Linked DNA regions of Tamandua tetradactyla. The protein of the gene in region 1 purifies or fractionates together with the protein of each later gene. This does not show direct contact. Links are inferred from orthologs where the notes say so. Each region holds a gene or a part of one and is shown on either strand. Other genes may lie near its edges.

Region 1 (11,136 bases):
GCCAAACCAACCATCTGCTCAGCTCTTTATCAGTGGAAATGATGGCAGAGTGATTTCCTGCAGGGATTCTGTGCTGATTCTTTTCTACTTCTAAAACCACCCTGGTTGTGGCAGAGTCAAACCAAAACAAGCCTGAAAAACATTTTACCTTAAATAAACAGCAAGTAAGCACTCTTCATGGCAACCCCAGATGAAATTCCCCAAAGCTCCTGGCAGCTGACTTCCTTGAGTACAGGTTGCCCTGGGGTGCCTGAGCCAGCAGCCCCACACCCTATGTGGAAGTAACTACCTAGTACTTCGGGAGTCAAATCACCCTCTTGACAGTTTTCTCCCAAAACAAAACAAATTTTTAGGTTCTCTGGCACAATACTTGGAACTACAACACACGCCTAAAAATAAAAGTTTTTAAACTAATACAGGAATTGCAGACAACTATAGGTAAGGAAGGAAGACACCTCGAAAAACAAATAACTCTGAGCTCCATTACGTCATTTATACATTTAAAGGGCATTATCTCTGCCTGAGGCTAGAAATGAACATCTACGCATAAGAAGAAAAACTGGATTCCAATCCCAACAGCCAGACAACTGCAGAAAACCCATGTGCTCTTAACAGGGGGTGCTGAAACCCAGGAGAGGTAAGGGACATATCTAATAGATCCAAGTACAAAACTTACTGACTGTAACGTAGTGATAAACACATTCCACCTTGAAATAGTTAATCCCTCCAACACATGAACTAGATCAAACAGCTAAAAATCTCTAAACTCAAAATACCATGAGCCCAATAACCTAAGGGGCCAAGTCATAAAACTCAATGCCCTGTGCAGGTTTAGAGGACAGGTCGGTTTCCTCAAATATAGGTCTTCTTTTCAGAATTCAGTTAAACAAGGCTACCAAACTTGAAAGCAACAATCAGCCATTACAAGGAATTCAATCAATTTCTCCAAACAGTTCTATACTGGTTTTGAAACAAGTACAAGATTCAAAGCTCATATAACAAAATTCACAGTGGAAGTATTTAGATGTTATAATATGCCGGCACAGGTTAAGTGCAGACATTTTGACTCAGTTAACACTGATCAACCAGAAAAAAAAGGATTGGATATATGTGTGTAATAACTGTTCATTTTTTATTGTGAAATATATATATATATATATATATATATACACACACAAAGAAAAAAACGCAAGAATTTTCAAAAAGTAGTTACAGAACAGATTTCAGAGTTTGTTATGGATTACCATTCCACTATTTCAGATTCCTTCTTTTAGCTGCTCCAAAACACTGGAGACTAGAAGAAATATCAATACAGTGATTCAGCAGTCATACACATTTGTTAAATTCTATTTTCTGTGTTATAACTCCTTCTCTTTTGATCCTTCTGGAAATCGTAGGTTTCAGAAAAACACAGTACATGAAACTTTTATAGAGTCTCAGTTCAAGCCCTAGGTCAAAAGGAGTGATGTCGGTTAGGGTTCAGTACACCAAAGTAACAGGCACTATCTAACTGAAGCCTGCATAAGAGTAGCCTCCAGAATAGTCTCTGGACTCTATTTGATCTCTCTGAGCCACTGATGCCTTATTACACTTCTTTTCCCTCTTTAGGTCTGGAAATGTTATTGATGCCAAGGTACTGGAGCCAAACTCATCCCCAGGAGTCACGCCCCACATTGTCAGGGAGACTTTCACCCCGGAATGTTATATTCCAAGTACTAGGGAAGGTGATGATTTTCCGTGCAGAGTTGGGCTTAGAGAGAGAAAGGTCACATCTGAGCCACAGAAGAGGTTTTCTGGAAGCAACTCTCAGGCCTTATTAAAAGTAGTCTTAGCTGCGTGATTGTGGAAAACCCTGTGTCTGATGCTCCTTTCATCTACCTTGTCAACAGACGAGTAGAACATATGGAATAACAATAAATAATAGGGGGAACAAATGTTAAAATAAATTTAGTTTGAAATGCTAGTGATCAATGCAAGGGAGTTAAGGGGTATGGCATATAAAATTTTTTTTTCTGTTTTTGTTTAATTTTTCTGTTGTCTTTTTATTTCTTTTTCTGAATTGATACAAATATTCTGGGAAATGATCATGATGATGAATATGCAACTATGTGATGATATTGTGAATTGCTGAGTGTATGTGTTGGGAATGTTTGTGTTACCTGTAATCTTTTTTAAATTAATAAAAAATTAAAAAAATAAAATAAATAAAAAGTAGTCTTAGTTTCTCTGCTAAAGAAATAAATTTCATAAGGCAAGCCTCAAAATCAAGGGTTTGTCCTATTTTGGTGGGAGTTTCTAATGATTGAGGGGTACCTGGGGTTCCTCAGACAGTTTAATAGTTCCATATATATATATATATATATATACACACACACACACACACAAACCCTTAAGAGACTCTACCAATACTTTTTTACTTTTTGCATGGGCAGGCACAGGGACTTGAACCCGGGTCTTTGGCATGGCAGGCGAGAACTCTGCCTGCTGAGCCACCGTGGCCTGCCCTCTACCAATACTTTTTAATTGTCAGCCCACCACAATCTGAGATGTACCCAGGTATTACATTAAACTATACAGAATCACAAGGAATCATTTCCGTTTTGGACACAGGAGTCTGGGTTGTTAAAATGAGCTGCTGAGACAAGATGGTTGAGATTGTGTTACAGAAAATTTAGGTCCTAGACATAATAAACCTGTCTGCCTTTGGGCTCATACAGGAGGTAGAAGTTTAGAATTCATACATTATCATCTTTTACCCTGTATTTGATTTACCTTAATTCCAATCAAATTGGCTTTGATTTTATCTCTAATTGATGCCTGATTTCTTTTTCAGTTACTTTTAACCATTATTGTATACAGCTATGCTTTCAGGGCTGCAGCACTCTATTTCTCCGTTTTAGGGGAACAGCTTTTTAAGTGAAACAGCAGTAAAATATTAAAATGACTCATGAAATCATGTATGTGAAGATACAATGTGAATGAGGGTGCCCTCACGATTCCCTTCTATCACTATGATTCTACAGGAAATTAAATTTTGAAACAGTATTTCTGCTGACCAAGAAGGCCTTATCTTTGACTGCTCCTTTCAAATCTTAGAATAGGGTAACACATCTTCAAAAGACAAAAGAAATTTTTTCTTCTCATCTTTAAGATGCAAGGAAGCAGATAATAAATTGAGAAAACATTTTCTAGGTTTTTTCCTCCTGCCAGCTCCACCTCAACAACTCAATTACTAGATAACTCCAGTTTTTAAACCATCTCCCTTTCCCTTATTTTCAGGTACTCATTTCATCTTTGGACTATTTCCCTATTCTATCACCACCTCCCTTCCCCCTGAAGTTCATTTTACTCTTGGATATTATTTATTCTCCTAGCAATTGATAATCCCAATCTGAAATAATCTGACTCTACTATGTATGTGCTAGTCTTCTGAAGGAGCCCTGAATTTTGAGCAGGAAACAATCAATCGCCTCAAATCCTTATAATCTATACTTCAGTTGGGCTTAGTGCAATAATGAAAACATAATTCTCCATTAAAACTCCTTTAATTTCTTCTACAAAAGCAGTCAACCTAAACAAACTCAACAACAAGAACTAAACAAAACCAGTGGATTTTCCTGTTGAGGCGGACACCGGTTCTGGAGAAAACCTGCCCAGGTTTTAATACCAACTCTGTCACCTTGGACAAGTCATTACTCTTAACCTCACAAGACCTTAGTTTCCTGATTAAATGGGACAAACAGCAGCACCTTTCTCACAGGTTACCATGAAATCAGGTAATGCATGCCAAGTCCTTAGAAAAATCCTTGGCATGTAGCAGACAATTTAACATTAGTTGTTAAAATTAGTTGCAAGGAAGACAGTAAATTAAAAATTCTTAAGTTTTAGGTCTAACAGCTTACTCTGCATACCTACATTTTTAATATGAGAGATTTCAAAGGCCTATTTTAATACAGTGTATCATTTCAAGTGCAGGAAGACAGAGCACGGATTATTAAGACAGAGAAAGTACCTGATCCAAAGTCAGAACCAATCAATGTGCCCTAAATGGATCACAGATCCTTTAAGCAGGTGAAGAGAACAGACCCCCTGCACCTTTACCCCCGTGGGTAATGTGACACAGTATTTGAGGTCCAAAGCTTTTCAATGCTGGCATCAGAATTCTGGATACTGAAGACGAGCTGCATCTCCCACCTTGCATCGGGGCTGAACATAATCGCCAAGCTGAAATTCGTGAAAGATTCAAGTCCTATCACCACCAGGCAATCCTTTGCCGAGACAAACAAAAAGTATTCAGAAAAGGAGGGAGCAGTTAAAAAACATGCGGCTTAACTGACTGCCAGGTAAAACATACAAATGAGTAGCGATTTAAGGCCCTCTCGGAAGATGAAAGCATATCTCCCTGAAAAGGAAGAAATGCCTGTAACGTTCCAAGCATGACATGGGGGGAAGCATTATTTTCCTTTTCTACAGCATTTTAAATGGTAAAACAGACCTGATGCCTACCTTGACTGGGTAACTCAGGTCCGACCCAGTTTACTCAGTGCACTAGTTAGCGTGAGATGCCGCAGACCAAGTCCCCTGTGCAGGAGGGCACATACTTGCTGGCGTCTCGCTCTGGCTATCGAGCTCCCAACAACAGCTAAGATCAACACAAAGGTCTTTATTTCTTTGTCACGCAAGCCCTGCACCCAAGCGAATCTGCGAAATAAAACCCCATTGTTCGCCCGCCCTGAACCCACACAAGCGATCACAATCGCTCGGCGGCGAAACCCCGAGCGCGGGCGGCGGACGGTCTCGCAGCATCTTCTCCACACGAGGAACGCGGAGCCCCGAGGGAGGCTCGGCTCGGCGCTCCGCGGGCCCGGCGTGCAGGTCAGAGCACGTGAGTCCGGCCGGAGTTCGCGGGAGATTTGAGCGCACGCGGCTCGGCGGGAAAGAGCCCGCGCGGGGAGCCCCGGCCGCCGCCCTCCGCCAGCGGCGGCGAGTGCCCCTCCGCGGGGACCGCTAACCGAGCGCCGGCCCGGGCAGAGGGCGCGCCGCCGGGCCACGCCGCCCCGGGAGGCCGCCAGGAGAACAAAGCCGCCTCCTGACCTTCGGCGGCCCGGGTGGGGACGCGGGGAGGGGCCGGTCTCCCGCCCCGCGCCCGCCGGCCTCGGACCGCTGCCCGAAGGGGCGCGGGCCCCACCCCTGGCCCGGGCGCCGCCGAGCGGCCCGCCGCGGCCTTTCGAGAGGAAGCCCCGCAGCCCGCCCCGGCCCCGCGGACGCCACCCCGAGCGCCCCGCCCGCCTGCCCCGGCGCGCCGTTACCCGGCCCGAGGCCTCCGTCTCCGCACCTCACGCCTCCTGCGGCAGCGGCGGCACGGCGGATCCTCTCGCTCGGGCTGCTGCGCCGCCGTGGCCTCCAAGAACGCCGCCTCCCATTGGGTGAGCTCCGTCCGCGCCCTCCCCTGGCCCCGCCTCCCGCCAGCAAAAGGGCCTCTGATTGGGCGGGCGCGGCGCCAGGTGGCGCTCGTTAGGGGTGCGGCCGGAGACCAATCAGGGAGCGGCAGGGAAGACGCCGTAAGGAGCCGCACTCACCGCGCGCGGCCGTATGCAAATGAGGGCATGGGACGGCGCGGAGCGGGTTCGGCGCTCCTTCCGCCGCCCGGGAGGGACCCACGTGGGGGACGGCGCGGCCGAGTCCCCGGGCCTGCGCCCCTCGGGGCCCCCACCCCTGGCTCACGGCCGGCGCCGCCACCTTGCCCTCCTGCCGCCCGCCTTGCGCCGGTCTCAGACTCGGTCCCCGCTGACCGCCCGCAGCCACCCCCAGCGCCGGGGCCGTCCCCTCCGTCAGCCCCCTCCTCCGGTCCCGGGTCCTCAAGCCTTGGAGCCTCGCACGTGCGGTCCCCTCCACCCAGCCCTTCCGCATCCCGTCCTTGGGGTGACGCTTCTCTGCAGTTACTCCTTCAGGCCCCGGATCGGGCGACGCTTCCTTTTTGAGCCGCTCTGCGCTCAGCACCTAGGGCACAGCAGAACGGGGTGGGGGCGCTCCGGCCCCGAGGGCGCCCTGACGCGGCCGCGGAGCTGGGGGGACGACGTGGGGGGCCTTCCTCGCCCGCCCGGTCCGGCCCTCCTTCGGTGCCGCCTGCCCGCAGCTGGGTTGCGGAGTGGCGATCTGGGACTCGCCGGGACCCAGCCAGCGCGCCAGCCTGCCTGCATCGCGGAAATCTGAAAAACTTTGAGCCAAAGGCAGCTTGGGCGAGATGACAATGTGGTTGGAAAATCATTGCCTCCAGGCCCCCACTTTTTGAGGGTGGCTAATCTCGTCTCCAGTAAGGGTTGTGGGTCTTTTGTCTTTGTCCATTATTTTCAGAAATGTTGTCTTGGGGTAGGGCTCCCTTTGAAACAACTTCCAACTTTTTTGGCGTTTTATAAGAGGGGATTTTGGAAGCATCCTAAGGCTCATGGTGGGAGTTCGTTAAAGACATCACAGTAGGTGGAAAACCTCCAGTGATCAGCATGTCCAGTGGCCTGACCCTGTCCCGAGTGGGTGGGGTGGGGGAGGGGACTCTTGATTCCTATTTGCCTTCTTTGGATTTTCTGATTTGCTTTTGGGGAAAGGGAGGAGAGCATAAGCAACAGAAGAAACTGAAAGAGAAGAATTAGCATTTTCTGGTCTGAGGTTCTTTCCTCTTTAATAAAGATTCAGATCCTCTTGAAGCCCTACCTGAAGCTGGGGAGCGGGTGATGCCTGTAGAACCTGTGGGTGGTATCCAGGCAGCTCAAGCCCCCCGGGGTTTCCGTGGTCCCCGTGGAAGAGGACGGAGGCCAAGTACCCTGGGTGGCCTTTCCCCAGGGTCGCCCCAGCAATTAGTGGGAAGGTGGGTGCTATGGATGGACGTGTGTCCCCCAGAAGACGTGGTCAAGACCCAACCTCCGGACCTGTAAACGTGAACTCGTTTGTGAATAGGATCTTTGAAGATGTTGTTAGGGTGAGGTCAGACAGAATCGGGTCGGGGGCAGCCCACACTGACAACCATCGCAGAGACGGCCACGTGATGGAGGTGGAGGCTCACTTACATCACGGAGTAGCCAGCAAGCCACAGCCAGAACCTGCAGAGCTCAGAGGGAGTGCAGCCATGCAGGCACCTTGATGTACTCCAGACCTTCAGAACGAGGAGAGTACCCTTCTGTTGGTTAAAGCCAACTAATCAGTGGCGCTTTGTTGCCACATCCCGTGGGCAACACCCACCAAAGCTCTCCATGGGTGACGGTGCAGCAGGGCACAGGAATAAAAGGGCTGTGTGTGCCTCCCCCCATCCAGCCCCCTGGCACACCCCCCCCCCCCCCATCAGCAAGGCTTCCAGGTGGAAAGGAGATAGGGGCGGGTTCCTGTGAACCAGAGCAGTAGGCCACCAGGGTCAGGGTGGGTGTATGCTTGGAGCAGAGGCCATGGTAGCTGCAGAGGCCAGGCAGCAAGCGGCACAAAGCTTCCTGGGATCTACAGATAGCCAGGGGGGCTGACATCGCTAAAGACAGCCCTTTGGGGGTAGCCCTGACGGGAGGTGAGCAAGAGCAAGAGCCACAGAGCGGGCATTTGCATGACGGCGATTCCCAAGGGCTGAGGGGCTGGGTTGGGTAGGGCAGGCAAGCCTCAGTGTCCTCGTCTGCAGTGGGAGCAGTGGGTTCAGGGACACCAAGGACCCCATCCCAAGGCCTCTGTCCAGATGCTGTGTCTTTGCAGCTAGCTGGACAGACCTCAGCATAAAAGGGAAGGAGGAGCCCATGCAGCTGACCTGTAGGATGTCCCAGTCATGTCTATTCTGAAATGGGGGGACACTACTCCTCACCGCCTGCACTGAGACAGTATTTCCTGTCCTCCATGGCAGTCTTGAGTGGGTTTATTTACATAAAGCATCAGGGCAGAGCAAATGGGTTTTCAGTTGATGAGGGGAAAGTTATGAGGCTGGCCGTCTACCCCAAAGAACTGAAGACAGGTGTGCAGACAGGGCCCCAGCATCACCCCGAGGAGGAAGCAGCCACGTGTGCTGACATGAATGGACAGAGCGGGGCCCATCCGTATGGTGGAATATTGTGTGGCCCTTGCTGTCCTGAGGAGCCGGACCCTCCTGGGGTGCTTCCAGAAGTCTTCCCCATAGTGGGTGGGAGTTCAGGCATGCTGTCTGGGATGAGCTGAGAAAATGCAGAGTGGGGAGAGGATGAAGAGGGGCCAAGCAGCAGGCGCCCAGCACCCGGATGGGCGCCATGGCTGACTGGGAGTAGAGGCCACAGGGCGGGAACTGGCCTGAGTCACCTGGCGATTGGCGCCTGGCCTTCTGAGCATGCATTGTGTGCAGTGAGCTGGCATTCGCACACATCATTTCCGACTTGTGCCGTTGTGTATTTGGGTTAGGTTCCTAAAGATGGCACTGCCAGGACAAAGGATAAATGAATCCCCAGTTAGATCCTGCCAAGTTGCCCCACTGGCATGCAGCACTTTGCATGGCTTCACCTTAGCACCAGTGCCACTCTTGTCCTGATGGATTCCCATCTGGTGCTAAGGTTTTGCAGGTATGAAGCAGGTAGTGGCTTTTGTGGATGCCCTCCTCGGTGGTTCAGGGATGGCCACGCAGCTCAGGCTTAACTCCAGCGCTGACGTTGGCCTTGCAGCCAGGGACTCACCAGTGCTGACAGCAGCCCTGGGCAGCTTGCCAGGGCCTGGGCCCGCTGAGCCATCGGTTTTGGCCTCTGCCAAATGCTGAACGGCTTTAGGGGAATCTGCAGTTTGTTTATTCATTAGACTGGAGAGGCGGAGGGGCAGCCTTTGTCTGGGATGTCAGCAGGTTCTGGGAGCTGGAGCCTGTCTTTCACCCACTTAGCCACTTTCCAGTATGCGTGCGCACCAGAGATTAACTGAGAGCCATTGGCCTGGGAGTGAAATCCCCAGGGCTCAACGGGCCTGGGCACCCCAATGGGGGGCCTGCTGACCAGGCAGCACCTCCCGGGTCCAGCACTGAGCATGCAGGGTTGACGCAGAGGGAGGGCCACAGGTCTCGCTGCTTGGACAAATTTATTATGACTGTCTCAAAGCCGACGAGGACACAAAGCTATAGGAACACAATTCTTAACTTAGGACACGCAGACAACTGTAAACATGATGGACGCGTCGGGGCACGCCCGCAACCCCTACAGCTCGCCCGCAGCCGGCCGCCTTCTCTTTTCACTCCAGGCTTCCGTTCTGAACCATTTGCAGATACTCCTTGTGGAGCTTTTCCTGAGCATCAAAGAGCTTCTTGAGCTTCTTGGCCTGTCCCTTGCTGATTTCTTTGCCTTCGGTGTCATGGGTGGGTAGACCCTGCGAGGGCAAGAGTGGAGCCTGGCGTGAGCCCCCACGCCACTACCTGTGCCTCTCCTAGTGCCCAAACCTCAGGGGGCCGGGACCCAGGGGCAGAGGGTTACATCCACCTGCTCGGGCACGTAGTCCTCAGCTGGCTCCAGGCCCGGCCACTGAAAGTGGGGGAGAAGCAGCCAGGGTCAGGGGTGCCCTTCCCTCAGGGTGTTGAGGGGGCAGGGACCCCGCGGAGCCATGTGCTCTGTCCTGACACAGGAGCCCTGAGGTCCCCACTACTAGGCCTTTGCTGGGACAGGAAGGCAGGAGTGCAGACCCCTATGGGCAGTCGCGGGGCTGTGCTGACGTGGCAGTTGGGTCCAGCTTGTCAGGGACCCTGGCGACCCCTCTGCAGGAGGCCCCATCTCCAGCCTGTCTAAACCGGCTGTGGCTGTGACCTCAGCAGCCACAGCAAACTCTGCCTGGATGAGGGTGGAGGGAAGTGTGCCCACCCAAGCTGGCCCGGCTGTCAGGGCAGGTCCTTGGCCCGCCCCCCCACCCGGGACAGGAACCTCCTGGGGCGCAGACCCTTGAACAAGGCATCATGTGATCCCTTTTCCCTTACAAACACCCCACACAGAAACCTTGCTAGCTCAAGGTTGATATTTGCTGTCATCCCAATTTGACACAGCCTGACATCACCCCAAAAAGAAAAAAGTGAGTCCTTACGTTCTCATCAAACTTGGAATATTTGTCACGCTCGGACAAGAACATCTCACCGGGTGGGACCTTCATCCTCGCCAGCTTTGCTGCCTGGGACACAGGACATGTGGCTGCAGCGCATGGCTAGCGGGAGCCCCCCCCACCACATGCACCTTCCCGCCAGAAGTGCTTCCAGGCCCTCCAATTCAGAGACCACAGACAGGGAGGGGGACACGCAGGGCGGAGGGACAGTCTAAAGCCAGAGCAGGTTTTCCCCTATGGCATCAGCGGGGAGGCCGATGGAGAACCACCATGACGTGGAGCCTGCAGAGGGCAGAGCCTGGGCATGAGGGTCTCGGGGCCCAAGTGTACAGAGAGCCCCTCGGGGCAACACTCCCCACCTGGACGAGCCCACGCCTTACCTCTTGTTCCTGCTTTCTCCTGGCGGCCTCCTCCTTCTTCCTTCTCTTCTCCTCTTCAACCTGGGAAAACAGCACAATGGCTGATGCACCAGGCCTGCAGGCCAACATGGGAAGGGGGCTGGGGACATTGCCCCACAGGGTCTCCATAAGACCAGCCCCCTACCCCCACCCTGCTCTCCTCCCGGGACCCAGCACTGGGAAGGAGCTGGACCAGGCAGCACACTGAGCAGGATCGGTGCTTATCACTCAGTCCCAAGCACCCCCCAGCATGCACAGCGAGCACCTCTCCAGCTTGGACCCACAGAGCCACCCAACACATGGTTTAAGAGGTCACCCCTGCAAGCTACTCCCGACAAGTGGCCAGGTGATGAGCCAGGCCCAGGCCAAGGGCTTTTACCAGCTGGGTGGAGAACAGCAGTGCTGCAGGGCGACCCCTGAGCAGGCCAGGGGTGGCAGGGAAGGAGCAAAGGCCCTGAGACAGAAAGGGGAGGGAGGGCAGGGGCCAGTAGGCGCCAGGTGGCTAGGTGCTTGCAGGCCAGGTCAGGAGCGCATTTGACCCTAGCACGGGGTGCACAGATGTGCCATTCATGGACAAGGAGGTGAAACAGGTTTGGGGAGTTGAGAATCAAAGAGTTTCCTTCCAGACATATTAAGTTTCAGATGCTGTGGAGCCAAGCAGTGATTTCCAGTAGGCAGCCGGGTC
Region 2 (11,544 bases), on another chromosome or scaffold:
TTGACAGGAATGGTTTTGGTTGGGGTTTGGGAAACTCTGGCAATAAGCAGTATCTAGCTGAAGCTAGCATAAAAGTAGCCTCCAGAAAAGCCTCTCCACTCTATTTGAACTCTCTCAGCCACTGACACCTTATGATGTTACACTTCTTTTCCCCCTTTTGGTCAGGAAGGCATTGCTGATCCCACGGTGCCAGGGCCAGGCTCATCCCTGGAAGACATGTCCCACGTTGCCAGGAGACTTTTGCTAACGTAATATTTTAAAATAAAAATTAATACAAGAAAACCCATGAGGAAAAAAATAAAACATTTAAATAAAGGATAAATAGTAATGCTGTGCCAGTGATTGTGGCGCTAAGGCCAAAGGAAAGATCAGAGGCTGGGGAGGGAGGGGTACATGCAGAGGGCACTTGAGGCCCTGGGGAAGGTTATCCTGGGAGAGACACTGAGCAAGGAGAGGAGGGCTGAAAACTACCTCTGGAAAACACAAACCTCCTAGAAAGGAAAAAGGAAAAAGGCAGGCAAAGAGGAAGGAGACCAGGAGAAAGTGGTGTCAAGAAGGCTGGGGACAAGCTCCAAGGAGGATATGGCAGAGATACAGAAGATACAATGAGGTCAAGAAAGATAAGGTTCTCCAAAAAAGCAAAATAAAATTTAAAAAGATAAGACTACAAAGTATCCTCTGGGCTAGCAACAAAGAGGGTGGTGGGGTCTTTCCCAGGGAAGGGGCTGGAGGGGTTGGGCAGCTGCTGTTCCCCAGGCTTTCCAGAAGCTTGCTCCCATAGAGAAGGGCAAGAGGATATTACAAGGAAGGCTGTGGTTGAGGAGGCCTCTAGGAGGGGGCAGGGTGTGGTTTTAGAGACTCCACCTTCCCCTGGGCTGGAAAAAGGAGAAAGCCAAGCACAGCCAGGGCTGTAAATTAATCAGAAGGTGGCAGTGCCCCTGGGGAGGTCTATTTCCTTCTGTGAGCTGGAGAGGAAGCCCTGGTGGTGGTGGTGGGGGGGGGCTCTGGAAGAAGAAGCTTGGAATAGACACCATGGAAACCATCAGGGGCTTCTGACGATTCTCTGGGCAGTGCAGGGAGCCAGGGCCGTTTGGAAACCCTGGATTGCAGCATATCAGAATTTCTCTCCAGCAGGGCCAGCCAACCTCCCCAGTGGAGGAGAAGGGGTGCTGACCCTGTGCCTGGACAAGGGGATGGCAAGAAGCAGGTGTCTGCTCTCTGTGCTCCTCCAGCAGGCTCAAGGGACTCTAGGTTGTGGGTGCAGTTGGCTGAGCTGAGGGGCGACTCCTGAGTCTCCAAGTTAGACGGAGCTTCTCAGGCCAGCTTGGGGAGACTAAGGCTAGGAGGATTTAGGACTCTGGCCCCTGAGCCCAGAAGATACCAGGTTGTGCAGCGGAAGACTGACCAATAGCTGAGCAAGGGAGGAAGCCCTTAGGATTCCCTTTTGGGATCTGGCTAAAAGTTCTGGGAGGCACGTGAAGGTCTCAGGGAACCCAAGAAGAGAGAAGTAGGCTAGGCTGGTAATGTAACTTCCCTCTGCCCAGCTGCTGAGCAGAGACCCCAGGCCTCTGGGCTCAGGCAGGCTTGGGGCCCTGATGAGAGACTGAGCAGAAGTGGGGTTCCTGAAGCAGTACCAGTTGATCCTATCTGTCCTGATTGTGGTGGCCCCAGAGCTCTGGGAAGGCGAGACAGTGCAGCAGTTCCCCAGACGTGGGACTGGGTGGGTGTGCCACCACTGCATACCCTAGGGGCACTGCTCCAACAGCGGGAAGTTGGGCTGCCTACAGGACCAGTCCAGAAGCCCCGGACTGCCTTGAGCAGCCACAGCCACCTCTTCAGGCCCACAGGGCTGTGGCCTGCCCACCCACTGCCCCCCACCCAGGGTGGCTGTACCCCGAGGTACCCACTCAGGGCAAGCAGGATCCTGATCCAGTCATTCAGTGGGCCACAGAAGCATCCAGAAGACCTGGAGGGTGTCACAGGTCTTCAAAAGGGCTAACTCCAATTCCAGTTCAGTCTAGGAACTGAATACCCAAATGGAAAAATATTTACAACAGAGGGAGTTGAATGCAGGGAATTGGTTACCCAGGTGGCAGAAGAGCTGAGAAGCCATGCATGGTCATGAGGCAACCGCAGGAAGCTGCCACCACCTCGGGCTGGGGTCTGCAACTAAGGCAGTTGCCAATGCTGAGGGGCTGGGGGAGGGTGCTGTGTCCCCCAAAAACAGATGTTGAAGTCTTACTCCCCAGGACCTGAGAAGGTGGGCTCTTCTGGAAATAGGGTCCTTACAGATGGAATTAGGCAAGTTAAAATAAAGTCATACTAGATGAGGCTGGGCCCTTAATCCAACATAGTTGGAGTCCTTCCAGGAAGGAGAAGAGACAGAGAAGACAGAGAAGAGATGCCATGCGAAGATGCATGCAAGAAAGAAGGCTGTGGTGAGATGGAGGCAGAGACTGGAGTGGTGTGCCACAGGGAAGGACCTCCTGGAGCCCATGGCAGCCAGAGAAATGCCTGGAACGGATTCTGCCCCAGAGCCTTTGGAGTGAGCACAGCCCTGCTCAACCTGATGTCAGACTTGTGGCCTTCAGAACTGTGAGACAACATATTTCTGCTGTTTTGAATCACCCAGATGGTGGTACTTTTGTCAAGCAGCCCTGGGAAACTAAGCGGGGGTTTAACCTGTCATCTCCCTTTCTCCTCCTGAGTTCTGGTTCTCCCACTGGGCAAACCCAGCCAATACCCAGCTAACACAGGGCAAGACCCCTGCAAGGCAGCAGAACACGGGAAGGGAAGGCAACGGATGGAAGGCAGGCAGGTCCATCACGGGGACCACCTACCAATAACCTTCCATGCAGTGGCCCCCAGCTCATATCCCACCACTGCTCAGCCTCTCCTCAGGGCCCCAAGCCTGCCTGAGCCCAGAGGCCTGGGGTGTCTGCTCAGGAGTTAGAAGATGGGCAGAGGGAAGTTCCCTTTACCAGCCCAGCTTCTCTCTTCTTGGGTTCCCTGAGACCTTCACATGCCGCCCAGAACTTTCAGCCAGATCCCAAAAGGGAATCCTAAGCTCTTCCTCCCTTGCTTGGCCTGTCAGCCGATCTTTCCCTGCACGCAGGGTTGAGGCAACCCAGTGCCTCCTGGGCTCAGGAGCCAAGTCCTAGATCTCCCTAGTCTTAGTCTCCCTAAAGCTGGCCTGAGAAGGCAGCACTTGAAAAGGCGTCTATCACACTGGAAAATGCCATTTGACCCAGTTGTTCTACTTTTAAGTATTCTGCAGAGCTATTTGTAAATGTGCAAAATAAAGCACATAAGAAGGGAATTTACTACAGCAGCCTGTAATAGCAAAACATAGGAAATTACACTAACTGTTCAGCAGTGGGATCTGGTTAAATAAATTATGATCCTTTTACATAAGGGGCAGTCTGTAGCTATCAAAAAGAATGACACAGCTCTATTTGCCCTGATGTGGAATGAGTTACAAGACAATCTATTTTTTTTTTAAAAAAGAAAGTTCAGAAAGAATGGCACATACAGTATGACAACATTTGTATTAAATATAATAACTATACCTAGCTGCTTGCACATGCATTGCCTGAATCTGGAAGGACAAACAAGAAATTCCAGTGGTCACTGCCTCTGGAACCAGGCAGCAAGAGATGGAGGGGAGCAAGGCAGTTTTACTGTTTTTTTTTTGGATCTCTTGAATTTTGTGCCACGTGCCTGGTTTATAATTCAAAAAAACAAATAATTCATTTTTTGAAACTGAAAAAGAAGCATCTGTACTACAAACCGCTGCTCTCCCCTCACCCCCCACCCCATCCCACACCTGTTCTGTGGCCTGGTTAGTTACAGATTGCGGATGGAGGAGAACACTTGGACTCTGGTGGGCACGCAAATAAGCAGGAAGCAGTCTTACTTAAATTCCTGGGAATGTGGGTAGCCACCTGTGGTTTCCCCTTCAGGATTTCATATTTAAAGCCCTTGGGGATGTGGATCTAATTCTTCTTTGCCTTATCCTTACTTACTTTTTAGGCAGACTTGGGAAAGGACACAAAAGTTATTGCTATCATTTAAAGGATGAAAAAATCCAAGCCCAAGAACATGCAGCAAAGAGGCAGTATTTCACGCTTGCCCACCCATCATAACATGCCATGGCAGCTTCAGATATTCCACTTTCCATCATCCAAGGCATTTGGATCTCTCCAGGGAGACCCACCCAAGGTAGTATCTGGCTCAGAGCAGTAATCTGTTCTTCCCTAGCCTGCTATAGGCAATTTACTTTATCTGGTGTTTATGTTTCCTTTAATTCAATCCTTTGGAGGTTAAGAACTCGTTCTGTTCCTCTTTCCTGGACCTCTCTGCTCAGGAGGTTCCCATCCAACCTTCCCTCCCTTTCCTCTTAAAAGGCAGCATCTTTTTCTTCCAGAAGAGACCAGCAAACGAGAATGGCTTTGATTCTCATCGCCAAACTCTATCCACTCAGGAATTATTTACTAAGCACTTGCTCTGCACCAGGTAACCTTCTCAACAGTAAGTCCAGCCCCCCAGAAAACTACATTCCAGGGTACACTTCCGCCCGTGTCTGCTGTTACCTTTATTCTCAGATTGATCTGGACCAGGAGGTACCCTGTGTAGTTCTAGAATCTGCCCTTGCTGAATCTCATGCCCTCTGTTTTCTCCTCTGACCCTCTGTCTCTTGACTGGCTCCTTCCTCCTAGGCTGTTAGAGAGCCGGACAGAGCAAATGCCCTGTCCCAGGAGCCACGAAACACCTACACCCAGGGTCTCCACTTCCCATCCATCCCTGTCCAAATTACCATGACTCTGAACTCCACATCCAGAAGGCACTCTTTAGGACTTACCTTATTTAACCTTCTTGTCACACTGGACATTATTCCTTCTTTCTTTTCCTGGATACTCTTCTCCTTGGCTTCCAAGATGCCCCTCTTCTCTAGCTTGGCTCCTGCCTTTGGGCCTTCCTCTCCCACCCCCATTGGGCCTGGGTCTGCCCAGCTTTGCCTCTTCCCACTCAGGCTGCTATTCTGGACAAGATCCTCGGCCATTCTGTGTCTAACCCCATGATGGCTACCACCCCAGGGATGACTCCTCAGTCTGCAAGTCATGGCTGCCTTTTTCTTACACTTGGCCTTGCAGAACCAATCGCCCATGGCCCCTCCCCACCTGAATATTCCTCGCACACCTCAAACTCAACAGGCCCAACCCTGAATTCATCAGCTTTCCCCAAACCCACAGCCATGCCTGTATTGTCCCATTTACCATACACAAACAACAGAAAATAGAAATGTTATCTTTCTCTTTAGTCAAGTCACCAAGTTTGAAAATAATAATAACGGTTCATATTTATTGAGGGCCCTCAAAAACACACATGTATTATCTCAATCCTCATAACAACCCAGGAGGCAGATACTATTATTACCTAGAGGTGACAGGGTAGGGGCTCGATTGAATCCCTAGCTCCTTCACTTACTGTGTGACTCTGGACAAGTTATTTTACCTCTCTGTGCCAGCTTCGCTTCTGTAAAACAGAGATAACTTTTTAGTAAGGTTGTTTTGAATATTAAACGAGTTGATATATACAGCAGGAGAACAGTGGCTAACACTTAGTATGATAAAACTATTAGGTATGACTATTTTCTCCATCCCAGATGCCAAAGTAACACACTTTAACACTAAGCTATAACGGCTCCGTCTGCTGCTTATTTTACTTAAAAACCGCATGCATTTATTTAACAAATAATTTCCAACACTACTGTGCTAGGAATACAGCAGAGAATAAAGCCTATGTTTCACGGAGGGGGAGAGACGACAGACAAAAACTGGCCCTAGCTCCCTGCCCTGCCCCGTCCTGTGCAGGGAATCCAGGGAGAGCTGTGGGCTTCCTATACACTTTATCTCAAGAGTGTGCCAGCAAGAATGGCAAAAATAACTTGACTGCTCCCAAGAATCCCGATGGGCCCTTGTCAGAATACAAAATTTTGGGCCCCAACCCAGACGTCTTTAAGTAAAATCTCCAGGGGACGTTTTCACCATCACTTCAGTTTGGAAAATGGCACAGGTATCCTGGCTTTGTATGAACACTTTGGTACCATATGCCCAGATATATTCTAGGCGAGCTCTAAACTGAAGAAGTGCCGTGGTTTGTTCTATTAGGCAGCAATTATAAATTAAGTTCCACCCGCAAGGCAACCCACCCGAATAGGTGGCAAAATCACAATGTAAAGACAATCTTCTGCGCCTCCTCCATGGAGGGTACATCTCCTTCGGCTCTTCTGACCTGCTCCTGGGCCACCTTGCGTCAGGCCTCGCAGCCTTCACATTTTAATGGGTGCTTTAACCCCCAGTTAACAAAGAGGGACCTTGCTAGGCCGTCAAAGGCCCGGCCCCGCGGTCTGCCTGCCCAAGAGCCTCCTCTCCCGACCCCACAGCTATAAAACTGAGAGGGCCAGAAAGCTCTCTCTCTGAGCTTGGGGAAGATACCTACGCACCGGGTTACCGTGAAATTAAATGCGATTTCTGTGCCGTGCTCGGCAGCGCCTGAACCTGAGTTCCTCCAAACATAACGCATTGTCTCCATTAACATGTTTGAGGAGGCAGCCGCGGGCACGTGGCCCGGAGGGGAATCACCTGTGGCCAGGGGCACGTTTCTGGCCCCTAGTCCCTCGTACGGCGCGGGATGGGGTGGGACAGTGCGAACCAGGTGGACCCTCAACTTCCGGTGGGCTCGGGCTCATCAGTAGAAATATGGTCACACTCCTCTCTCAGCGGGCAGCGCAAGCCGGGCCCGCGCCATGAGGACCAGGCCGCATTCGCGAGCCCGGGACCACTCGTCTCCAGCGCCACTGGTCCGGGGCACACCAGGCGCCAAAAATGCCCGTCAGACGGCGCAGGCGCCGCGAGTTCTGGCAACGCAGGGTCTGCGGGACCCGCGCTCCACGGCCCAATCAGCGCTGGCCAAGCACAAAGCGAGTCCCGTCCCCAGGACGCCGCCGCCGAGCCCCTCCCCCTCCCCCGGCCGCCCGCGCCCTGCCCACTCCCGCCCGCGCCCCGCCCCGCGCCGCGCTCGGGTACTGGCTCGCGATTGGTCCGTGGGGAGGACGCGAGCTCTGGTTGGTCAAGGCACAGTCACGAGGACGCCGTCGTCGCCTTTCCAGAGGCGATTACTGGGCAGGCTCAGTCTTTCGCCTTAGTCTCGAGCTCTAGCTTGCAGCCAAGGGCCGCGCTCCGGCATCTTCAGTAGCTGCGGCCGCCATCGACGTCGCTTGGGTTTCTCAGGGCTCACCTGCGCCACTCTTTCGCCTCACACTCCGCCGTTATAATTCGCCATCATGGTGAAGCTCGCGAAGGTAAGAGGCCTTGCCTGTGCAAGGACAGACGTCGAGGCCTGTTTCCCAAGGAGCGCGCGCGCGGCGCCGCGAGGAAGGCCTGTGCGCCGTCCCGGGCGCGTTCGAGTTCCGCCATGCTGAGGGAAGTCTCGCGCGATTAGCGGGAGGTCTCGTGGTTTGGGACTACATGGCGGCGAAGTGAAGAGTATCGGCAGGTGCGCGCGGTGGCGAAGGCGGCGGTGTAGGACTGCGGGAATGAGCGCGGGGCGCGGGGCCGCGGGGCCGCGGGGCGGAGGGATGAGGCCGAACTCCTGCGACGCGCGCGAGGTGGGCCCCGCCTCCTGACGCACGTGCCCGGGTTACGCGCGCGGCCCGCCACGTGGGCCTCAGCGCGTGGATCCTGGAGTCTCCCGAAGGCACTTGGTCCTGGGGTCTCCCGAAGGCACTTGGTCCTGGGACCGACACAGGCGGGATTGAGTTTAGCCGGTGGCCTTAGGCCCCACTGCCCCCTTTTCAAGACGGGCGGACACGTGGTGGGCTACGGAAGGAGACCCTCAGTCAGTGCTTTCTGCGCGCACATGGTGGCTTGTGAGGTACCCCACATGGCTGCTCCAGGTCTGGAATGGGTAGGGTTGTGTTTTTCCCCTTGGAAAGGGAAATTTGATGAGCAGTCAAAATATAGTTACATTAGAGGGCGATGAGAAAAGGTTACTTTAAAAATTCTCGTTCATAATTTGAACCCAGGTGAGGATGGCGGAAGAAAGTGCCAAGATTTACTAAAGGCTTTTTGGATATTTTCACTAGGGTGAAGAGCGATGAATTGTTAGTTGTAAAATGGTCCAGTTGCAAGTCACTGTGTGTTTAAAAGTGCTGTATAGGCAGTGTCATAATTCAAGCTAGAAGTAATGTTTTTAAAACGGCGATGTAGTTGAAGAAGGCAGTAGTAAAAAAGATGCTTTACTGAAGTTGCTTTTTTAGTCACTGGGGGTTATCTACTTGTAAATCTGACAGAAAAAAATGGGTGGGAGATTTAGGATCCTGTTGTACGTCTGTGGTAGTTTTTAGGTTAATTGTGGCATTTAACTGAAAAGTAGAGTCTAAAGAAGAAGAAAGGAGATAACTGCATTTTATTATGAAGAATAAGAGGGGCATGAAATGGCAAAGGAGATGTAATGTGCTAATTGTGTCCATTTCAGGCCGGTAAAAATCAAGGTGACCCCAAGAAAATGGCTCCTCCCCCAAAGGAGGTAGAAGAAGATAGTGATGATGAGGAAATGTCAGAAGATGAAGAAGAGGATAGCAGTGGAGAAGAGGTAATTAAATACAACTTAATGAACTGTAATGGCTGTGTGTCTCAGAAGCTCTTCATTGACATTTGAAGATAACATTTGGGTAGTTATGAGTTTGAGAACCAAAAGAAGACCTGGAGGCTTACATAACACCTTTCTATCGGCCTATGCTGCTGTTGTGTTAAAGGATTCCATTTTTACATTTTTTTGGTTTCATTATATTAGCCCTACATGCTAGAAGAGGAAACTGGGCAATTCAAGTGACAGCTGAGTATACAGGTTTTAAGGACCCCGTGTTTCAGTCTTACTGTTTTCCCCTCTGGTCTCCAAGTAGGATTAATTTTGTCTATATTCTGTTGTGTATAAGTTTTATAACACTAATTATATAGGGCAGTTATCTCTAGTTTGGATTGAGGCCTGCCACCTCCCCTGTCTACTGTTTCATTACTAAGGACAACTGATTAATGTGCCTTTTGCTCAGATTCCCTTTTTAGAATTTATAAAGGCTTTACTCTTCCACTGTCAATAGGTAAGACTAGTAGTCTACAAAAAGTAGCTTTAGTTCACTGTGAACAAACTTAATCTACTAAGTGTTGATAAATGACTTTATTAATGTGTGCTCCATAATTTGTTACCGTTTTGCCAGGGTTCACTTTTTAATCTTTGGTCATGAGTAATTGACTTTTTAAAGAGTGCTCTACCCATTACAGGAGCCCCAAATAATGTAGTAAAAGGTAACACTAAAATTTTTTTTATGTGCAAAACGTTTAAGTAGTTTACATATATCAACTCACTAAATGCTTAAAACAAAATGAAAAGTTGGTACTATTTTCGGATAGGGAAAGTTGAGGCTGAGAATACTTGGAAAATCTGCTCAAAGCTACAAGTCATTTTAAAAAATGTGACCCAGGAACTGAAGTCTGGTTTCTTGCCTTTTAAGTGTTGAGGAGGTGCTTATAGTTGGGTATTTTACCTTAATGCAAAAACGAGTGCTGTAACTTTACAGTACATTGAGGGGCATGTAATATGTGTGACCCTAGACTTTAGAATGGCCTTAATGTGTGTAGTCTTTATTTTTGGCACGGGCAGACTCTGGGAATCGAACCTGGGTCTCTGGCATGGCAGGCAAGAATTCTGCCACTAAGCCACGATTGCACCACCCTGCGTGTAGTCTTGAATCAGATGAGCCAGTAATTGGTACTCATTTGTGGGACCACGGCTGCCTTTTTATTTTCCAGGTTGTCATTCCTCAGAAAAAAGGCAAGAAGGCCATTGCACCTCCGGCAAAGAAAGTGGTGGTTTCCCCAACAAAAAAGGTTGCAGTTGCCACACCTGCCAAGAAAGCAGCTGTCACTCCTGGCAAAAAAGCAGCCGCCATACCAGCCAAGAAGACAGCTACACCAGCCAAAGCAGTAGCAACATCTGGCAAGAAGGGGACCACACCTGGCAAAGCAGTGGTAGTGGCATCCACTGGTAAGAAGGGAGCTGTGGCCCCAGCCAAGGGGGCAAAGAATGGTAAGAATGCCAAGAAGGATGACAGTGATGAGGAAGATGATGAAGACAGCGAGGAAGAGGATGAGGATGATGATGAAGATGAATTTGAGCCAGCAGTGATGAAAGCAGCAGCCACTGCTTCTGCCTCAGAGGATGAGGATGATGATGAGGATGAAGATGATGAAGACGATGATGATGATGATGATGATGATGATGAAGACGATGGTAAGGAGTTCTCTTGGTAGTTTCTAGGCTTCTGGTTTGCAAGGTACCTTAGAGGTGAGGTTATAGAAACAGTTCTACATACTCCTTCTAGCAACTCAGAGGTCATCTCTGGGCTGGCACCGACATTTAATTTACCCATGGAAAGTTTGCCCCATGCTGATGTGCCTAAAGCACGCTCTGGGAGGATTCTCTATTGTGTAGGATTTCGTTTGCAAGAGACCTTGAAATACTTGCTGCTGAAGCATGGTGGCATTTCTTTTAGATTTTTCTATTGTTGGTTTCTCCTGTTTCTGAGTATGCTTGACTCTCTTTTAGACTCTGAAGAAGAAGCTATGGATACTACCCCAGCCAAAGGGAAGAAAGCTCCTGTAAAAGCTGTTCCTGTGAAGACCAAGAGTATGGCTGAAGATGAAGAGGATGAAGAGGAGGAGGAAGAAGATGATGACGATGAGGAAGATGATGATGAGGACGATGATGAGGATGACGACGAAGAGGAGGAGGAGGAGGAAGAAGAGGAAGGTAATCAAATTAGTTTTTGAAGTACTCTGACCTGAATTTTGTTTAAAGAAAGATACTTGAGAATGTGTGGGTACTCGTTGATGACATAGGTTGTTTGAAATCTTGTTCAGAGCCTATCAAAGAAGCATCTGGAAAACGAAAGAAGGAAATGTCCAAGCAGAAGACTGCTCCTGAAGCCAAGAAACAGAAAGTAGAAGGTAATTTGAGAATTTGGGGAGGAGGGTTATGGGGAAGAAAGTCTGGTTACACAAATGATGAATGACAAAGGGACTTAATACTGAGACCTGATGTCACGTTGTAATATGCTGATGTGCTGTGTGTAGGAACTGTAGTGGAAATTAACTTTGCACTGTTGACTAATTTAAGCTCTGTTTTTGTATAGCATTAGAAACTACAGCTTTCAATCTTTTTGTTGGAAACCTGAACTTCAACAAATCTGCCCCTGAATTGAAAACAGGGATCAGTGACCTTTTTGCTAAAAATGATCTTGCTGTTGTGGACGTCAGAATTGGTGTGTCTAGGTAAGTAATGTTGACATGATTTGGGGGTGGGTTGGGGGGAGGTTTAGACAACAGTATTTCCTTGTATATTACATTTGGGCCTACTAATGGCTTTTTTTCCCTCTACCTACTAGCTACAGATAGTTCAGACTTTATCATGGTATAAATTATTTGT

Evidence for each region.
Region 2: the proteins of NAP1L4 (region 1) and NCL fractionate together in Homo sapiens (co-fractionation; 3 studies listed by BioGRID). This does not show direct contact. The link is inferred for Tamandua tetradactyla from reciprocal best matches to the Homo sapiens genes NAP1L4 and NCL.

Annotation. Positions count from the first base shown.
Region 1 is NC_135335.1:2,764,145-2,775,280, forward strand, and holds the start of NAP1L4 (nucleosome assembly protein 1-like 4), read right to left. Parts: upstream 5,439-11,136; 5' UTR 5,336-5,438; exon of another isoform or gene 5,310-5,335; intron 4,702-5,309; exon of another isoform or gene 4,496-4,701; intron 1-4,495. Other genes in the region: CARS1 (cysteine--tRNA ligase, cytoplasmic), read right to left, coding at 9,202-9,336, 10,039-10,122, 10,434-10,493. UniProt on the Homo sapiens protein: Acts as a histone chaperone in nucleosome assembly.
Region 2 is NC_135329.1:207,466,064-207,477,607, reverse strand, and holds the start of NCL (nucleolin), read left to right. Parts: upstream 1-7,161; 5' UTR 7,162-7,345; coding exon 7,346-7,363; intron 7,364-7,518; exon of another isoform or gene 7,519-7,557; intron 7,558-8,538; coding exon 8,539-8,655; intron 8,656-9,869; coding exon 9,870-10,350; intron 10,351-10,665; coding exon 10,666-10,869; intron 10,870-10,979; coding exon 10,980-11,066; intron 11,067-11,113; exon of another isoform or gene 11,114-11,183; intron 11,184-11,251; coding exon 11,252-11,390; intron 11,391-11,544. UniProt on the Homo sapiens protein: Nucleolin is the major nucleolar protein of growing eukaryotic cells. It is found associated with intranucleolar chromatin and pre-ribosomal particles. It induces chromatin decondensation by binding to histone H1.